Arabidopsis thaliana: one gene and its partners. The protein of the gene in region 1 purifies or fractionates together with the protein of each later gene. This does not show direct contact. Each region holds a gene or a part of one and is shown on either strand. Other genes may lie near its edges. The genes, in order: CYCB2;2, AT4G38900, GR-RBP2 and EXLA1.

Region 1 (4,953 bases):
GGATGAGTCAATTCCTTTGCTTTCTTCTTCGGCTTTTTCGCTTCTCCTTCACCCAAACCATCCCCTTCGTCATCGGTTTGCGTAGATATCCTTGGTCTACTCTTTTTCTTCCCACCACTCCCACTTCCCTCATTCATTCCTTTCATAACCGCTTCCTCTGCCGCAGCCAAAATCAACCCCGCCGCAAGAACCGCTTGCTCATTCAAACGCGCTTTTTCTGCATCTTCCTCAACGACACTACTACTCTCTCCAAATATTCTACTGCTGATATTCAAAGCAGGGAGGCCGAGAACAATTTCTCTCATATTGGTTTCTTCATCGCTCCATTGCTCATCAGATTCCTCTTTCTCTTCCTCAGTAACATCCACTTTCGTTTTCTCTGGGTTCGGATTACTCATACTATTTTCGCACTTTAGTCTAGGGATTGATGTTTCAAAACGACATTGAATTAGCCCTTATATAAAGTTTTCTCTGAACCATGGCGGTTATGACAGTTAATTCCTCTCCCGCCTTTTCGTTTGAAGATTTGCATCCGTCGTTTGTGATTGGTCCGTCCTAAACTCTGATATTACGTAAATTTGGGCTTAATATCGTATAAAGCCCATTACTAGCCCATAAGTTATTCGTACTTGGTAGGTTGGTTCAAGAGTTTTTCTTGTTTTCTGTTTGTAATCGTTTCTCGTGCGTTTTTGGTCATCGAGATTGCAAGAGTCGTTGCAACTGCACTAATACTATTATGCATGTGACATCCGACAATGACGTGACTTGTAAACTTTTGTTTTGACATATTTTTTCTTTATTTATTATTACAATAACATTATCATTTTTTTTTTTTGGGTGGAAACATTATCATTTTTATTAGCCATTCTTTATTTATTCTATATGTTTTTACTATTTAAAATTTAAACATTGATGTATACCGGTAAACATAGTTTTCAATGTCAGAAGGAAGCTCTTGAAGCTATGTAATAAATCACAAATACAACAAATTGCAACACCAAAAAAAACTAATGTAACCATTGATGTGTGATATATGATATAGCGAAGCCGCAACTGTCTTAAATATTATTTTGAATAATATCTACACACTAGACTCTAACTAAACGTTTAACAGTTTTCTAAAAATGCAGATATAAAAAGTTATCTAAAATATTTCACATATTTGAATAAGAAATTAGAAACACAATCACCTTTTGACCATTCTAAGGAAATTCAATTACAATAACTATGACCAGAATCATCTAGCCTAATTTTTGATATTCTCTAAATTAAATATTTTTAAAAAGCTTGACCAAAAAAAAAGAAATGGCAAGAACACTTACTACAGAGTCAGCATAATTCTCGGTAACAATAATTCTTAGGAAAGAGAGCAATTCTTAGCTCTGTAGTAAAACACAGATTAATAAGCTAAGATTAAGATTAAAGAATCAATATGTTGACTTTAAGATCTTAGAGCCGCGCCTTACGGAGGCTCTGGCTAGTGGTAACGAGCCTTCTTTGTCTGAAAAAGGCAACAAAAAAAACACAAAAAAGGAATAATAAATTTGAAATGAGAAAGAGAGAGCCACCACACACACCACATGGCCAAAAAAGTTACCGTTGGGTTTAGACAGACTTAGAAACAAATCGTTTCCTTCATGATCCAACGGTCATCTTAATCACCTAGCCGTTGCTATTTCCTTCAATAATAAAAAAAAATAAAATAAAAAAAGGTAGCAACTTTAATTTTAATTGATTTGATTTAATTTCTCTCTCTCGCTTATTTCATCCCCTTCTCTGACTCCTACTGATTCATTCAATTGCATCAGACGTATACACAGAGTCACAGAGAGAAGAGAGATCCTTCTTCGTTTGATGCTCTTCTTCTTCTTCTAGATTCTTCTCCAGGAGCACTATCAAATCGAGTAAAATAAACAATGGTTAATCCAGAGGAGAACAATCGTAATCTCGTTGTCAAACCCATTACAGAGATTCTTCAAGGTAGTAGTAGTAAAACGCCTTTGAAAAATCTGAGAATTATAGGTCTGACGAACAGAGAGTCTGATGTTGTTTTGTTTCTGGGTTTTGTCAGATGATGATAAGAGAAGCAGAAAATTCGGTGTAGAGATGAAGAGACAGAACAGGAGAGCATTGGGTGTGATTAATCACAATCTCGTTGGTGCAAAAGCTTATCCTTGTGTTGTTAACAAGAGAAGAGGCTTATCTCAGTAATATACTTAACTCTCTCGAATCCTAAAGTTTGTCTCTTTGATTCTTGGTTTTGGGATTTTGATGATTATTTTCTTCAATAGGAGAAAACAAGAAAGCTGTGACAAGAAGAAGCTTGATTCATTGCATCCGTCAATTTCAAGGTTAATAAAGTTTAAAGCTTTCAAAAACGTTTCTTTTGCTGAGAAAGAGAGATCTGATGTTATTTGAATTTCTGCAGATCTCAGGAAGAGACTAAGAAGCTGAAACCAAGTGGAAACGAGTTTGGTGATTGCATATTCATTGATGAAGAAGAGGAGAAGAATGAAGAAGTTACATTGGACCAACCTATGCCAATGTCATTGGAGGAACCATACATTGAATTTGATCCAATGGTAATTAACAATCACTTTTCAAAAGATCTTTAGCTTTTTTCTTTTAATGTGAATTCTAAAGAAAGTTTTTTGATTTGGACAGGAGGAAGAAGTTGAGATGGAGGATATGGAAGAAGAACAAGAAGAACCAGTTTTGGATATAGACGAATACGATGCAAACAACTCTCTTGCAGCTGTTGAATACGTCCAAGATCTTTACGATTTCTACCGTAAAACCGAGGTACGGTTTCTTAATATGTCTCTGAACCAAAACCATAAGATTTTGAATTCGGACTGAGACAATTTTCCATGGATTTTGGTAATCTGCAGAGATTTAGCTGTGTTCCTCTAGATTACATGGCGCAACAGTTTGATATATCTGACAAAATGAGAGCAATACTTATTGACTGGCTCATCGAGGTATATTCAAGCACCTCTCAATGGTAATGGATTATTGTATATATAGAGGCTAATTAAGAAGCTTCTTGGATGTTTCAGGTACATGATAAGTTTGAGCTGATGAACGAGACATTGTTTCTAACAGTCAATCTGATAGATAGATTCTTGTCCAAGCAAGCTGTTGCAAGAAAGAAGCTTCAGCTTGTTGGTTTAGTTGCATTGCTCTTAGCTTGCAAGTACGAAGAGGTTTCAGTACCTATTGTTGAAGATTTGGTAGTCATTTCGGACAAAGCTTATACGAGGACCGATGTTTTAGAAATGGTAAAATAAGATTGTTTCTTTCCAAAAACTCGGTAAAAAGATTATACATTTGATCTGATTTCAATAATATAATCTTTGTGTGCAGGAGAAGATTATGCTTAGTACTTTGCAATTCAATATGTCGTTACCAACGCAATACCCTTTCTTGAAGAGGTTCCTCAAGGCAGCTCAATCAGACAAGAAGGTAAAGAAACAAATCTATCAATGTACACAATAATATAAATGGATTGTGAATTACAAACTAATCTTGTTATTGAAACAGCTTGAGATCTTGGCGTCGTTCTTGATTGAGCTTGCTCTTGTGGACTACGAAATGGTTCGGTATCCACCATCGTTACTCGCCGCCACTGCCGTGTACACAGCTCAATGTACAATCCATGGCTTCAGTGAATGGAACAGCACTTGTGAATTCCATTGTCACTACTCTGAGAATCAACTCCTGTAAGTCTCTTTTACCCATTAGCACCTATAAAGACTCATCTTTGTAACTAATATGGGTTTGTTTTACAGAGAATGTTGTAGAAGAATGGTGAGACTACATCAGAAAGCTGGGACTGATAAACTAACAGGAGTACATAGAAAATACAGCTCCTCCAAATTCGGATACATAGCAACAAAGTATGAAGCTGCACACTTTCTTGTGTCAGATTCTCACTAAAGAGTGGAAAATAGTAGTTTGTGTATAGCTCGCTGCTAACATTTTCCCTCTCAATTTTTAATTACAAACGAAATAAGTTCAAAACATTCCTCTGATTTGATCTGTAACAAGTCTTTCTTTTATTGATATCTCAGCAATAAAATTCTCTTATACCAATCATATTTTTTGTCAATAGTTACAGATTCATAGAATATGTATGATATAAGGATGAGAGTTTTGATTTGAACTCTTTTTCTTCTACAACTTTAAATAAAACACATTGGAAATGAGTCTTAACTATACTAACACCGCAGACAAAACTAGTACCACCTAACACAAACGCTGTCGTTTTCAAGCTACATTTATATATCTCCCACCAACTCTTTCTCAGATCTTTTGTCTAAGTAAAAGCGAAAAGGGCAACAAACAAAAATAAACTCGGAGAATCTCACAACAATCATGGCGGCTACGACGAACTCTTTCCTTGTCGGAAGCAACAACACTCAGATTCCTGCTTTGAAACCCAAATCATCATCTCAATCCTTTCTTCACCTCAGCAAACCAAACACCGTCAACTTCGTCAGCAAAACCAAGCCCGTCGCTGTTAGATGCGTCGCTTCAACGACTCAAGTTCAAGATGGAGTTAGATCCGGCTCCGTCGGATCCCAAGAACGTGTCTTCAACTTCGCGGCGGGTCCAGCCACTTTGCCTGAGAACGTTCTCCTAAAAGCTCAGGCGGATCTATACAACTGGCGTGGATCTGGCATGAGTGTGATGGAGATGAGTCACAGAGGCAAAGAGTTTCTCTCGATTATACAAAAAGCTGAATCGGATCTTCGTCAGCTTCTCGAGATTCCTCAGGAATATTCCGTTTTGTTCTTACAAGGTGGTGCCACTACTCAATTCGCTGCTTTACCTCTCAATCTCTGCAAATCGGATGATACAGTCGATTTCGTTGTTACTGGTTCGTGGGGTGATAAAGCTGTCAAGGAAGCGAAGAAGTATTGCAAGACTAATGTGATTTGGTCTGGGAAA
Region 2 (5,286 bases), 1.2 Mb from region 1:
AGGTGGATTATATTTGATTATTCAAGTTTTTTTTCGTAAGCCAAATCTGAAGAAAACAAAAGTTGCTTATCAAAGAGGCAAAGAGTATATTCGTTTTATAGGAGAATGTAATATTCCAAACTTTGGATGTGCATGGTTATGGATGTTGTAGCATTTGCATTTGCCGAGAATTATAAAGATACGTATACCAAATAAAATACATGAATTTCTCGAAAGCCAAAATAAAAATTTGCTCTAAACTCTTAATTTGTGATGCAGGCATAATATTGTTTGTGAAATTAATTCAAACGTGATCAAGACGAACACTGCCCCCACTTATATTAATCTGATTAATATGTTTGGCCCACGTTTAGATCGGTAGATCATATCCGTTGCACATACAAACTTTACATAATTACTCAATCAAACAATTTTATTTCTTAAACCACCGTGGTTTGATTTTTAAAACGTGCATTATAGTTTCGTTAATACTCCAGTATAGTGATGTTATTCGGTTCCTGTTAATTAATTGTAACACGACCATTTATGATATGACTACGACTTAATCCACGTGATTTAACACCTTAATTACGACTTTCAATTATCATTTTCACACGCTGTTCTATGTCTTCTATTAATTTCTTAAGGAACAAAAATACTAGTAGTTCATTTAAATAAGAAAATCATTGGTTATCTTTGATTATTTTGATGTCAAATCTATATTTGAAACTGAATTTTTTTACAAAAATAGAAAATTTCTTAAAACGTGCATTGTAATTTGATTTCTTTTAAAAAATTAAAATAAAAAGAATTGACGCAACAAACCGCGGGTAGTGCGACTAAACACCTAGTAAAATACTATAATCGTAGAATCAAATAATGATATGTAGATATTTACGAGAAACATGGAGGGAGGTGGTTATAAAGAGTCAATATTTGTTGTGTGGTGGGGTTCATCTAATTAAAAGCAAATGAAGTATATAATTATATTGATAGGTGAAATCTAGATCTTAGAAATTGTTTACAAAGATTGTAAACTCTGGTTACCACCGTTTAGAACATTTTTGCACCAAGCCTTGAAACGGTTGATAGATTAATCACCAAAATGAACGAACCTATCTGTCATCGTCCTTACATAAATAAACGATGAAGCACGAGATCAACACAGACGATCTCTAAAATTCGTAAACAAAGAAATTATTGGTGTAGACAAATAAGTCGGGAACAAATCATTCAATATGGCGGTCCATTACATATTATTTAAAGAAATATATAAGTAAGAGAGGCATAATTAAAGAAAATACAAAGAATGGCTTTTTACATTGTACATGACAACATAAGGAGGACAGAATCTTTCGTCTAGACAAGAATGTCAATTGTGGTCGGAATAGAATTGAATCTCAAATCCATATTCAAATCATCAAAAATAAAAAGAAACATTTTCGCTAAATGGTTTTAACTTCCATTTCGGATGACAAAGAATATTATTCCTAAAATTCATTTTGTCAAACCAGTAATATTGTGAAACTAAACAAGTTTTAGATCTTTATCCAAAAAATAACCGTATATATATACAATGTAATCATATGAATGAGGAATATATATGTTAAATTCGTATTTGATACTCAATATACACAGATTTTTACTTAAAAAAACATTTGAAATAAATGGCTAAAAAATAACAAATCCAAATTTATATAAAGTTTTGGATAGAATTGCATTAAATAGAAAATCTTGGGAGGTTGTGGTAAATTCACGCGTCTTGTTGGGTGTTTTTATATTTCTTCTTTTTCTCTTACTTCTCATGAAATCCGTGTCTTTTGTTTTTCTTTGTTACTAGTACTACTTTAGAGTTTACACTGTCTTGCTCGTGTCAAAAAAGAAAAAAAAAAGTCGTCGTCTCTATCGAGTTTTTTTTTACTATTCTCTCTCGAGAAAAAAAAAATCAAAGGGGAGAGAAAATTGCGGAGGAAAAAAGAAAAGAAAGAGAAAATGGCTCTGTGATTCTCCAATTTCTATAGAGAGAGAGAGAAGAAGAAGATTGATTAGATAAGTTTCTTAATTCAACGTTGAGAGACAGAGAGAAAAAAAAAAAAAGATTTTGTCATTCTTCAAAATACGTTCTCGCCATTTGCGCCATTGATTAATTCAAGTGCGTTGAAGTTAGAGGTAACCACCAACTTGCATTTTACTCTCCAAAGCTCTGATTTTTCTGTCAAATTCTTTTGAAAACTTTGATGCTTGTTTTCTTCTCATCATTGATTCTTTTTTGATGATAGGTTAGTTCTACACAAAGCTTGATCTTTTAGGGGTTTTCTCTAGTTATTGGAGAGTGGTGAGAATTAGAAACTGCATTATCCGATCTAAAATGGGTGATACAGAGAAGTGTAACAGTGATATGATCCAGAGACTTCATTCATCTTTCGGCACTACTTCTTCTTCCATTCCCAAAAATCCCATTTCTCAGCTCGATTTAAACCCTAATTTCATCCGCTCATCAGCTCCTCAATTCTCCAAGCCTTTCAGTGACAGTGGCAAACGAATCGGTGTTCCTCCGTCGCACCCCAACTTAATCCCACCGACTTCTCCGTTTTCTCAGATCCCGACCACCCGACAACCCGGTTCGCATAATTTTAACCCGGGAGGAGCTAATCATTCACGGTCAATGTCACAGCCCAACTCTTTCTTCTCTTTTGACTCCTTACCTCCGTTAAGCCCTTCTCCGTTTCGAGATCACGATGTTTCAATGGAGGATAGAGATTCCGGCGTGTTTAACAGCAACCATTCGTTGCCTCCATCGCCGTTCACGAGGTGTAATTCGACCTCTTCTAGCTCCTTGAGAGTCGGTGAGAGTTTACCTCCGAGAAAGTCTCATAGACGCTCCAACAGTGATATCCCCAGTGGGTTTAATTCGATGCCTTTGATCCCTCCGAGACCATTGGAGAGGTCTTTTTCTGGTGGGGAGTGTGCTGATTGGTCAAAGTCTAATCCTTTTGTGAAGAAGGAATCGAGCTGCGAAAGGGAAGGTGTCGGAGAGAGAGAAGCTATGGATGATCTCTTCTCAGCATATATGAATCTTGAAAACATTGATGTGTTGAACTCCTCTGAAGCTGATGATAGCAAGAACGGTAATGAGAATAGGGATGATATGGAGAGCAGCAGAGCAAGCGGGACCAAGACTAACGGTAGTGATACGGAAGGAGAGAGCAGCAGTGTCAATGAGAGTGCCAATAATAATATGAATTCTTCTGGTGAAAAGAGAGAGAGCGTGAAGAGAAGAGCGGCTGGAGGAGATATTGCTCCTACCACCAGACATTACAGGAGTGTTTCAGTGGACAGTTGTTTCATGGAGAAGTTGTCTTTTGGTGATGAATCTCTAAAGCCGCCTCCTTCTCCTGGATCTATGTCAAGGAAAGTTTCCCCTACCAATTCGGTTGATGGGAACTCGGGTGCTGCTTTTAGCATCGAGTTCAATAACGGTGAGTTTACTGCAGCGGAAATGAAGAAGATCATGGCAAATGATAAACTAGCAGAGATGGCCATGTCTGACCCTAAACGTGTCAAAAGGTACAAATATTGAATCTTGACTAACATTACCGGTTTATAATCAAATATTCTGATGTTTAAGGAATGATCCTCTTTTCAGAATCTTAGCGAACCGTCAATCCGCAGCACGGTCAAAGGAGAGGAAGATGCGGTACATAGTAGAATTGGAACACAAAGTGCAGACTCTTCAGACCGAGGCTACCACATTGTCTGCTCAGCTCACACTTTTGCAGGTGCGTTGTTTACAATGTTATAAAAGCGCCTAGATTGGTCAATTTTTGTTTTGTTCTAACGATCTTAGTTACTGCATTATCCAGCGCGATATGATGGGGTTGACAAATCAGAACAATGAGCTTAAGTTCCGGCTTCAAGCAATGGAGCAACAAGCGCGTCTTCGCGATGGTATACATTTCTCTTCACATTGTATCAAATTTACGATATTATTAACATGACTTTAACAAAAAATGGAACCAGATCCTATATGCTTTAAAAAAATCTCCATTTTTGCGCTTAACGAATGTGAAATGACGATTTTTTTCCCCCGCTTTGCAGCTCTGAACGAAGCACTGAATGGAGAAGTCCAGCGACTGAAACTGGCAATCGGTGAGAGCAGTCAGAACGAATCAGAGAGATCAAAGATGCAATCACTCAACGCTGAGATGTTCCAGCAACTCAACATCAGCCAGTTAAGACAGCAGCCACAACAGATGCAGCAACAGTCTCATCAGCAGAACCACCAGAATGGAACCATGGCAACAAAATCTGAATCAAATGAATAGAGCAGAGAAGTTGTTGCGGTGGATCAAAGGGTTGGAGTTTTTCAACAAGTTACATATCAAATCAAACATTATATTTCATTTATGTGCAGAGTCAGTTGAATTTACATATATATCATATAAGTCCAAGAAATTTAATTTTACAATATGTTGTTATCTTAGAAAGAAAAAATTCAATTTATAGTAGATATAGGTATGAACTATGAACACAAGTTATATGTAATGGGATTGATTGAGCTTCAGACAAAAAGATTCTCTGTTTGTTTTGTTTTTAGTTTTTAATTTAGTCTTGGATTCTGTCTCTTTTTGTTGGTTTGTTTATTTTAACATTATGGGCCGGTTTTTGGCCCATTAAACAGCATCCCAAAACATTGTTGCCTTCTTCGTCTCTCTCTGTGAATAATATCTAAAACCCTAACAAACACTATCACTCACTTCATTTTCGTGACGACGGAGCTTGACCGCTATGTCAGATGTAATAGCGGAGCACGCGGTGGATACTAGTGTTGAAGGAGATGCAAAGGCTGCGTTACCGGTTCAATCGACGAAACAGTTCTCTGTGTATGAAGCGACTTCGGAAGAGCTTATAGAACGATCAATGGCTCCTATTAAGAAGGAGTTCCTTTGTCCTCCTCCTCCAAGCCGTTCCGTGAAGCAAAATGATGCCGCCGATGTTAGGGCGCCTCAATCGGGTTTGGTTCAGGAGAAGAAATCTAAACGACAACTGAAACGGGAACGCCGCGAGGTATTGATTCGAATCACATCGGTGCTTGTATGTATAGCTTCGAATCTATCTATGTTTTAAGAACTAGTTTTTTTGGCAACTGAAACCATTGGATATGAGAGAGAGTTTAGAACAGGAGGGATTAATTTATGCTCTTTCTTCTTGCAGCAATCTACGATCAATCTCTGTCCGCAGGTTGCGAGAACAGAAGACGTTGATTCATGTCAGTATAAAGACAAGTGCCGGTTTAATCATGATATT
Region 3 (4,149 bases), 8.9 Mb from region 1:
CCTTTCAAGTCAGCACCATCATCGTCATTCATCATCAATATCACCAATACCAAAGAGTTTCACGCTCACTCTACGACCATTCAGTTCCTGGAAATTTAAAACGAAAGCAATACTAAGTCTGACCACATATAGACAGACACACAACTATTATACCACAAATAGAGCCATCCAAACCTTTCCATCCATCCCAGACACGGCTGCTTCAGCTTCGGAGTGACTGCTGTATGTGACAAATCCAAAACCCCTGGACCTATCTGTGTATCTGTCTCTCATTACAATTGCTGCACAAACAATAATAATTTTGGTGTAGTGACAACTGAGAAACTTAAACCACACTCAACAACATAAACAAGAAACTCGGAAATATTAATTGGAGGGCGATCCAAAAGGCTTTTACCATCTACTACGTTTCCGTAGCCGGAAAAGGCTTCCCTCAACATATCATCGGTAGTGGTCGGTGAGAGATCTGAAGCAATCGTAACAAAGCTTTCAAATAAATAAATAAAACTTGAGAAAACAAATTTGAAAAATGAACATCTACTAAAAGAAAGAAATAATTACTTCCGACGTAAACCCTGGTAGCCATGTTTTAAGCTGATCTTGAACAAAGACAGATGTATGTCAAAGTTAGGTTTAAGTAGACACAAAATTAGGAGTTTTGGAGGAATAGAGAATGGAGCCATGGAAAACAAGTTTAGGTGGACGATAGTATTTTAATATAGCGAATAAATCATGTGGAATTATAGAATCATTAATAGCGAATCAAATGTTGTCGCTCTCTGCTTTCATGATGTGTATCGGCTTTGACTTTGTATAAAAGTTTTCCACCTCAAATGGTTTAAACGTGAATCACGACACAAAAGATGAAACTTGAATCGAAGTTATGTATAGGACAGGAGTGAAATGGTATATAAGCACAAGTGAATGAAAGAAATGGTAAGACGTATTAGAATGCACCTAATGGGGGCAATAAAATATTAAACCGAATTGATTGGTAACCAAAAAAAGAGTAAAGAGTTTTCAGCAAATCCCATTCAGGTTTTGTACTAACATAAGATTCAATAGAAGAAACCAACTAAACAGAACCATTAACTCTTCTTCTTCACAAGCACCTCCTCTGTTTAGAAACCACCACCACCATCACCACCTCCTCCATAGCCACCACCTCCTCCTCCGTACCCACCACCACCTCCTCCGTAGCCTCCACCTCCACCACTGTATCCACCACCACCTCCATAAGCCCGTGGAGCACTTGGTCTATCATTAGCAGGATTCACTCGGATGTGACGACCATTCAGTTCCTGAAATTCCAAAACCCATAAACATTATTAAGTAAACCATTAAACAGATACAATTACCATTACAGCTATAAACTAACTGATACATTCAATACAAACCTTTCCGTCCATCTCTGATATGGCAGCAGTTGCAGCACCCTCATCATTGAAGTTGACAAATCCAAACCCCCTTGATCTTCCTGTCTCTCTATCAACGATAACTTTAGCTGCACAATTTTTCAAAAAACAAAACTTTAGTTCATCTCCACAAACTCTTACTCAATTATACCAAAAACAAGTGTAGCTTACCATCAACAACGTCACCGAAGTGAGCAAAAGCATCCCTTAAGGATGCGTCATCGGTTCCCCATGAGAGACCTAAAGCAATCAATATATAAAAAAGTCTCAGTACTAATTCAAGCAACACTAAAGTGAAGTAACTCTTCAATCTGACTCAAAAACAATAAGATTTTACCTCCGATGAAAAGCTTGGTAGACATCAACCGGAGAGATCCGAGCATAGACGTAACCGGAACATTTCCGTTAGAAGAAATGTTCTGTCTCAATAGACCACCGAGTTTGTTACAGAAAGCCATTCTACAAAGTTCCAAAAACACACAGAATCAGATCAGATCAACTGTTATAAATCAATACTAATAAAAACCCTAACTTTAAGACTAAATCATCAATTCAACGAGATGGGCTGATCCAAAACAAGTAGATCTATATTCAAAGTATACATAAGAGTAATTTTAAGCTCTAAATCCCTTACAGTCAAATTGAAACGAGAACACAAAACAGAGACACACTAGAAACGAATTCACCATGAAATTAAACAAAACAGAAACATAGTAAAGCTTAGGAGATCGAAGATGGTGAAGAAATGGTACCTGAAGAATAAAGATTCGAAATTAGGGTTTTGTGATCTGAGAAAGAGGCAGAGGAAATGTAGAATGAAGCCAAGGAGTAGGGTTTAAGGGGCTTTATATACAAAGCTCACTAAAAAATATCTCATTTTCTTTTCAGGATTTTTTTTCTCGCTAAATAATTTAATCTGGTGTGTGTACGTGTATATTTTTACTGTGTACTAAAGGGTAAAATAGTTGTACACGTAGCAGAGTCTGTGTAAATCAGTTCTTGTGGTACCAATCTTTTTGAGTGTACGATGTAGTCGGCGTAGAGGAACTAGTTTTTTTCTGATTTATCCAATTTGGTATTTTAGTTTTCCTCGCCCTATTTTATCTGATTTATATTGCTAAAAATAAGACTTTTTGTATTGGGCTTGGAAACCCATATTGATTGCTGGGCTTCAAAATCCATGTTAAACGGATAATTGTCGTTGATGGGCCATTCATTGAAAAGAAATGAATTTTCAGAAACAAAAACAAACAAAATTGTATGATTCACTAAAACTAGACTACATTTTATGAATTTCGTAATAAGTAGTGAGATATAATTCACTAAGACTAAATTTTTATTTTTAACATATAGGTTACCTTATGATTTTAATATTGAACATGATAATAAAAGTTTTCAATCTGCTTCCTAACAAAAATCTTTCGTACTTGTTATTGTTTGCTCAAAATCATAAGTTGATCGTTTTTTTGTTTGATAAACCTAAAAACTTAAATTTTCTCAACTCTCCCAACCTATAGACTTGTGTTCACATAGAAATAACATGTTAGGAAGAAAAAGATTATGCATCCTCTAACAGTTAAAATCGTCTACGAAATGTTTGTGGCAATAATTATATATATATCATTATTGTTTTTCTAGTTAGTGATGAATTTATTTTCATTTTTGCTAACTGCTTCTGAAAAAATGATGGATCGTTGTATATATTCATGTAAAACTCAAATATAGTCACAATCTTCTTAAGTTCGTCTTAACATCCATGTGTAGTGGTCCTGATTGATTTTTAATGTCTTGAATATAGCAACCTTATTCACGGTTATAGATTAATGTTCCACCAATTTCAATTCATGTGGCATCTCTTTATATATATGTTACATCCTTTTCAGTTTCTATATAATTATTTCTTGATATATTTCTTTATTCTCAATACTCATTTCAATTCATGACTAGTAAACATTAACCTTGCTACATGAAAGCTACACAAAAGGAAAAAAAAAAAACTTTGAAACTGCATAGGGTTTCTATTAGAGAATATATAGCTGGTTTGTTCTGGTTTAAATTAGTTTGGTAATAGCTTTGGTTTAGTTTGCTTGGGAGAATCTAAAATGGTATTTTTCATTCGTTTAAATAAATAAGTGTTTATGGAATACTGGAAGATCATCCCAAAGTAACACAAGCGAAGAAGAAGAAAGATAGTGAAAGTCGACCAATCCTTTCTATTTCTGAATTTTAACATTTTGGTTTTTGATGTTTGGTCATGGATTAATTCTGAGGTTTACTTCAAACAATTTCTTACGGTAGCAATAAATAAATTGTTGTGAAAAATAATTCATGATTTGTTGTTGTGTCCGTTTTCTATCGTTGCTAATTTAAATTTCAATACTGTTTTATCTCATAAACCATCCTAATAGTATTATTATCAAAGCTCTGATTCATTTTGTACAATTGAAAATATTGATGTTGATGGAAATAATCAAATTTTAAAGTGGCGACAAAACATATTAAAATGTTTGAGATGATTAACTACTCTTTTTTTTGTGTGGATAGTCTATCGAATATAAATTACTAGAGACCAACAACAATGTAATATTATAGATTATGAAAAAGTACTATACTATATAAGATTATTATTTTTTCAGTTAAGGAATAGGATAAAATAATAAGTTGAGATGACTAACACATTTGAATTATTGCCTTAGCTTAAAATCACATACTTTACCAATGGTTGTTTTGTTAT
Region 4 (4,000 bases), on another chromosome or scaffold:
AGAAGAAACCAGCCGCCGAGAAACCAGTAGAGGAGAAATCAAAAGCCGAGAAAGCTCCGGCGGAGAAGAAACCAAAAGCCGGCAAGAAACTCCCGAAGGAAGCCGGGGCCGGCGGCGATAAGAAGAAGAAGATGAAGAAGAAGAGTGTGGAAACTTACAAGATCTACATCTTCAAGGTTCTGAAACAAGTTCATCCAGATATTGGTATTTCAAGCAAGGCTATGGGTATTATGAACAGTTTCATCAACGACATCTTCGAGAAATTGGCATCGGAATCTTCAAAGCTCGCTAGGTATAACAAGAAGCCGACGATTACTTCTCGGGAGATTCAGACTGCTGTTAGACTCGTTCTTCCTGGTGAGCTCGCTAAACACGCTGTTTCTGAAGGAACCAAGGCTGTTACCAAATTCACAAGCTCTTGAATTAGTAAATTAGGGTTTGTATACTCTGAATTTGATTCTGATGTTGTCATAACTTGTGTTAGGATTTCTCTTTCGTTTTATTAAGCTTTAATTATCATTCTCCGTTGTAAAGTAATCTTATGAATCTGTCTTCGAATCAAAAGTTCTGGTTGTTAATGGCTCAATGTTGTTCTCTTGTTTAATCAATGTAGAATCATGAGAATCATTAGATTAAGCATTCTTTAACTATGTTCATTAATAACCTCTGTCACACATTATATATAAACCTATGAAAGATGTTTGTTTGTGTGCCACTAAATAACTTAGTTCCAGATGTGAGCATCGCAAGGATCACAACCTTCTTGAGCAATGTCAGTGATTTGAACACCGGCGTCGTAAATTTTCCCAGCTTCCCAATTGGATGGAAGAACACTCTGTGACCAAATCATTTTACCGTCGTATCCACCGGTTACTACGAACCTGAACTGGATAGCTCCGGTGGGTACTTTGTCAGTTACCCAAACAGCTCCGTGGCTTCTTGTCATGTAACCCCAATTTGGCGATGAACCGACTTGAGCAATGTCGATGGATACTACTTCTGTTTGACCTCCTTGGTATAAAAGCTTTATCTCTAAGTAGTTTGGTTTCTTGCTTGCTTCTTCTACTCTCACGTTCATGTTCTTGTTGCCGTAATCGCAAGGAACTCTGTTTTTTTTTTTGATGACCAAGTTAATATCGTGTGATTAAGAAAACCAAAGAGTTTAGGTGTTTTGAGAATCGAACCTTTGGTATTCGATGTCGACAATGCCTTGTTTGAGAAGGTCTTTGTCAGCACCAACAATAGGTTTAGCCATAGCTCTAAAAGCTCTGCTACTAAGGACAAGATCGGTTTGGTTACTCTTGTTTAAGTCTGTGATCATCACAATGGTTCCTTTAGTGCTACACAGCTTAGGGTTCTTGCATCTGACTTGAAAGCAAGCTCCACAGCCAGCACCGTCTTTGTAGATAGAAGGGATAGCTGCAGCGATATGTCCGGCGAAGAAACTCGTAGCCATAGAGCCATAAGCACAAGCTCCAGCTGCAAAAAACACATAAACAAGACATGAGAAAAGAAACATACAGATAGTTAAAAAAGAAGTAGTTAAAATGTTTACAAGAGAGAGCAGAGGCAGAGGAGAAATAAGCTGCTTTAGAACGGTGAAGACATCGATCACAAGCGTTAACGGATGAAGAGAAGAGGAAGATGACTACGATGAGGAAGAGAAAGCTTCCCATTTTTTGTTTACTTGAAGAAGCAATAATATCTTTATGATCAAATAAGAGAGAGAGATATGTGAATTTACATGTAAAGAGAAGAGAGGACAAAGAATGGATTATATAGAGACTATAGAGAGGTTGATGCCAGCTCATCATCTCAATATCTAACACACACTGTCACGTCATAGCTGGTATGTGTGTGTGTGTATCTTCCCAATTACGCGTTTTATACATATATGTTAAAATGACATCTTTGATTAAATCATTAGTCCAAAGTAAAAAGAAGAAGTGTGAAAGAGAGAAGATAGTTTTACCAATATGAGTCATGGGATGATGTGGCGTTACACCGACTCTTTTCTTTGCTTTGTTCATGACGGTCTTCTCTTTAGGTAAGGGACAAAACATTTGTTAGAGTGTCGAAACTAATTAATAAACGAAATAACCCATATTTGTTCTTTTTTAAAACCTAACCAATAATAATACATATATTTAAAAAATTTGGGATAGATTTTTTTTTTAATTTGTGCCAACTAAAACATATAAAAGAAAAATATTAGTGAGAGTTATCGGATTTTAATTGATTTAAAAATCTAAACATAATCATGTGTTATCATAACGTTGATACCAAAGTTTTTAAAAATAAAATCGTGTTTTTATTCGCTTAATACTTTTGAAATATGGTATTCCTCGTTTATTGATTTTATTACATTTTGATAAAGATTTGATTTTAACAGATTTCAAAAATCCTTGCATTTTTATTATAAAATCAGTAAGTGTATCTATAAACACGTCTTACCATATCAAGTTAAGAATGAATTTTAATAATAGAGACAAACCTGAAAAACGGGATTGCTTTGGGAAGTAGGGGAAAGATAAGAACAAATTCCAAAACCAATTTCACTTTCTTTCTATCTTTCTCTTTTTGCCTAAACCCTTTTCATCACTTCGTCTATAGACTCTACACACGTCTTTGTATCGTTCGTTAATTAAAATGAAAAATCTACCCAAGTTTTTTTTCCCTAGGGATTAGCTAGGATTTAGTTCATAACAACTCATTTCCACTAACAAACCAGCTTATAAAAATGAAAGTCTACACATTTAATAATTAGATGTAGAGCATTAGGGCTAAGTGATTTATCACTAAACTCTATCGATACATGTGTTAGTATTAATTCGGACATGTCAAAAGTTTGTATGTTAGATTTTGTTGATTTTGAGTTATTGAAATCTTCAAAATATTCAAAGATTGGTACCTTAAAACATCCATGTGAGAACGACTCATACGGCATTGATTACTACATGTGAAGATATCTTCATAATACTCCCCTCTATATCTCTTTTTTTTCATTGTCGGGATATACAATATATAAGTTTTTTTTGTGTGTAAGATTTCTTTATCAACCACTGACTTTTATTAATGATGCATATCGAAAATTAAGGCTAATGGGATTTGGTATAGGCTAATGTCTAGTAACAAGAAGAGTATATTTTTTTTAGTGGTGCGGGCTTTAAAGGAGTCCAGTGAGGTGAGTATTGTTTAAGTGAGTCCATCGTGTAGTTGGGTTCATTCAAGCCACTTCAAATGACATTAGAAATGTTTTATTTTCAAAATAGTTGCACTTATATTGCAGCGGTTGCATTGCTTGACATACTAAAAAACTTGAAACCTATAGGATAGATGTATATATCACCAGCTTTAACTTTAGAAATTTCACTGAAGAGATGCTTAAGACTTTATAGATGAGAATGAGACATTATCTTTGATTGATTTCCATTTAGTTAAATAGTTATTTGTGAGGGGATTTTCTAGCTAATTATAAATCACAACATATGTAAATGTATCAAGATGGATAAAATATTGAAATGTACAGTACGAAAATCTCAAGATAACTGCGAATATAACAATGATTCAAGTACTAACTTAAGCCTGCGATTTTTAGATTTCAGATTCAATCAAATCTCTACGTTCAACGCATATTTGAACCGGAAATTTATCAAAAAAAAATCAAAATTAATAAATGGCTTCGCCCGGGTTCGAACCGGAGACCTTCAGTGTGTTAGACTGACGTGATAACCAACTACACCACGAAACCTTTTTGACTATGTTTCCTTACTAATTTATATAAAGACACAACAGTTTCTTCTTTGACCTATCTTAAACCTTTCCATACATTATTGTTTTCCAATTGTTAGACATCTCTAAGATATGTTTTTTTTTTCTTGTCGGATTCTTGCTTGCAATGATAAGTGACATTTTTTGTTTTTCTTGTTTTTTTTGGTGACATGGACTCTAGCTTTTAGCATGACCTTTACTCTCTAGTTCTTTTGTTTAATCCAGATTA

What was found.
Region 2: the proteins of CYCB2;2 (region 1) and AT4G38900 purify together in Arabidopsis thaliana (affinity purification with mass spectrometry, with the first as the bait; one large-scale study listed by BioGRID). This does not show direct contact.
Region 3: the proteins of CYCB2;2 (region 1) and GR-RBP2 purify together in Arabidopsis thaliana (affinity purification with mass spectrometry, with the first as the bait; one large-scale study listed by BioGRID). This does not show direct contact.
Region 4: the proteins of CYCB2;2 (region 1) and EXLA1 purify together in Arabidopsis thaliana (affinity purification with mass spectrometry, with the first as the bait; one large-scale study listed by BioGRID). This does not show direct contact.

The regions. Positions count from the first base shown.
Region 1 is NC_003075.7:16,899,828-16,904,780, forward strand, and holds CYCB2;2 (Cyclin B2;2), read left to right. Parts: upstream 1-1,768; 5' UTR 1,769-1,916; coding exon 1,917-1,980; intron 1,981-2,071; coding exon 2,072-2,207; intron 2,208-2,291; coding exon 2,292-2,351; intron 2,352-2,428; coding exon 2,429-2,582; intron 2,583-2,664; coding exon 2,665-2,802; intron 2,803-2,891; coding exon 2,892-2,981; intron 2,982-3,059; coding exon 3,060-3,281; intron 3,282-3,366; coding exon 3,367-3,465; intron 3,466-3,543; coding exon 3,544-3,722; coding exon of another isoform or gene 3,723-3,726; exon of another isoform or gene 3,727-3,791; coding exon 3,792-3,939; 3' UTR 3,940-4,174; downstream 4,175-4,953. Other genes in the region: AT4G35610 (zinc finger (C2H2 type) family protein), read right to left, coding at 1-398; PSAT (phosphoserine aminotransferase), read left to right, coding at 4,378-4,953.
Region 2 is NC_003075.7:18,138,582-18,143,867, reverse strand, and holds AT4G38900 (Basic-leucine zipper (bZIP) transcription factor family protein), read left to right. Parts: upstream 1-1,917; 5' UTR 1,918-2,148; exon of another isoform or gene 2,149-2,258; 5' UTR 2,259-2,347; coding exon 2,348-3,546; intron 3,547-3,607; coding exon 3,608-3,758; intron 3,759-3,842; coding exon 3,843-3,927; intron 3,928-4,077; coding exon 4,078-4,304; 3' UTR 4,305-4,573; downstream 4,574-5,286. Other genes in the region: AT4G38890 (FMN-linked oxidoreductases superfamily protein), read left to right, coding at 4,768-5,046, 5,194-5,286. UniProt on the Arabidopsis thaliana protein: Transcription factor that acts as a repressor of reproductive development, meristem size and plant growth. Regulates meristem size, cell size and cell number during plant development.
Region 3 is NC_003075.7:8,019,038-8,023,186, reverse strand, and holds GR-RBP2 (glycine-rich RNA-binding protein 2), read right to left. Parts: upstream 2,475-4,149; 5' UTR 2,168-2,474; intron 1,875-2,167; 5' UTR 1,874-1,874; coding exon 1,753-1,873; intron 1,656-1,752; coding exon 1,587-1,655; intron 1,505-1,586; coding exon 1,398-1,504; intron 1,302-1,397; coding exon 1,122-1,301; 3' UTR 711-1,121; downstream 1-710. Other genes in the region: AT4G13860 (RNA-binding (RRM/RBD/RNP motifs) family protein), read right to left, coding at 25-87, 175-281, 398-466, 562-586. UniProt on the Arabidopsis thaliana protein: Promotes the cis-splicing and editing of several mitochondrial RNAs (including NAD5 transcripts). Plays a role in RNA transcription or processing during stress. Binds RNAs and DNAs sequence with a preference to single-stranded nucleic acids.
Region 4 is NC_003074.8:16,893,914-16,897,913, reverse strand, and holds EXLA1 (expansin-like A1), read right to left. Parts: upstream 1,749-4,000; 5' UTR 1,677-1,748; coding exon 1,556-1,676; exon of another isoform or gene 1,520-1,555; coding exon of another isoform or gene 1,480-1,519; coding exon 1,185-1,479; intron 1,107-1,184; coding exon 725-1,106; 3' UTR 606-724; downstream 1-605. Other genes in the region: HTB9 (Histone superfamily protein), read left to right, coding at 1-422.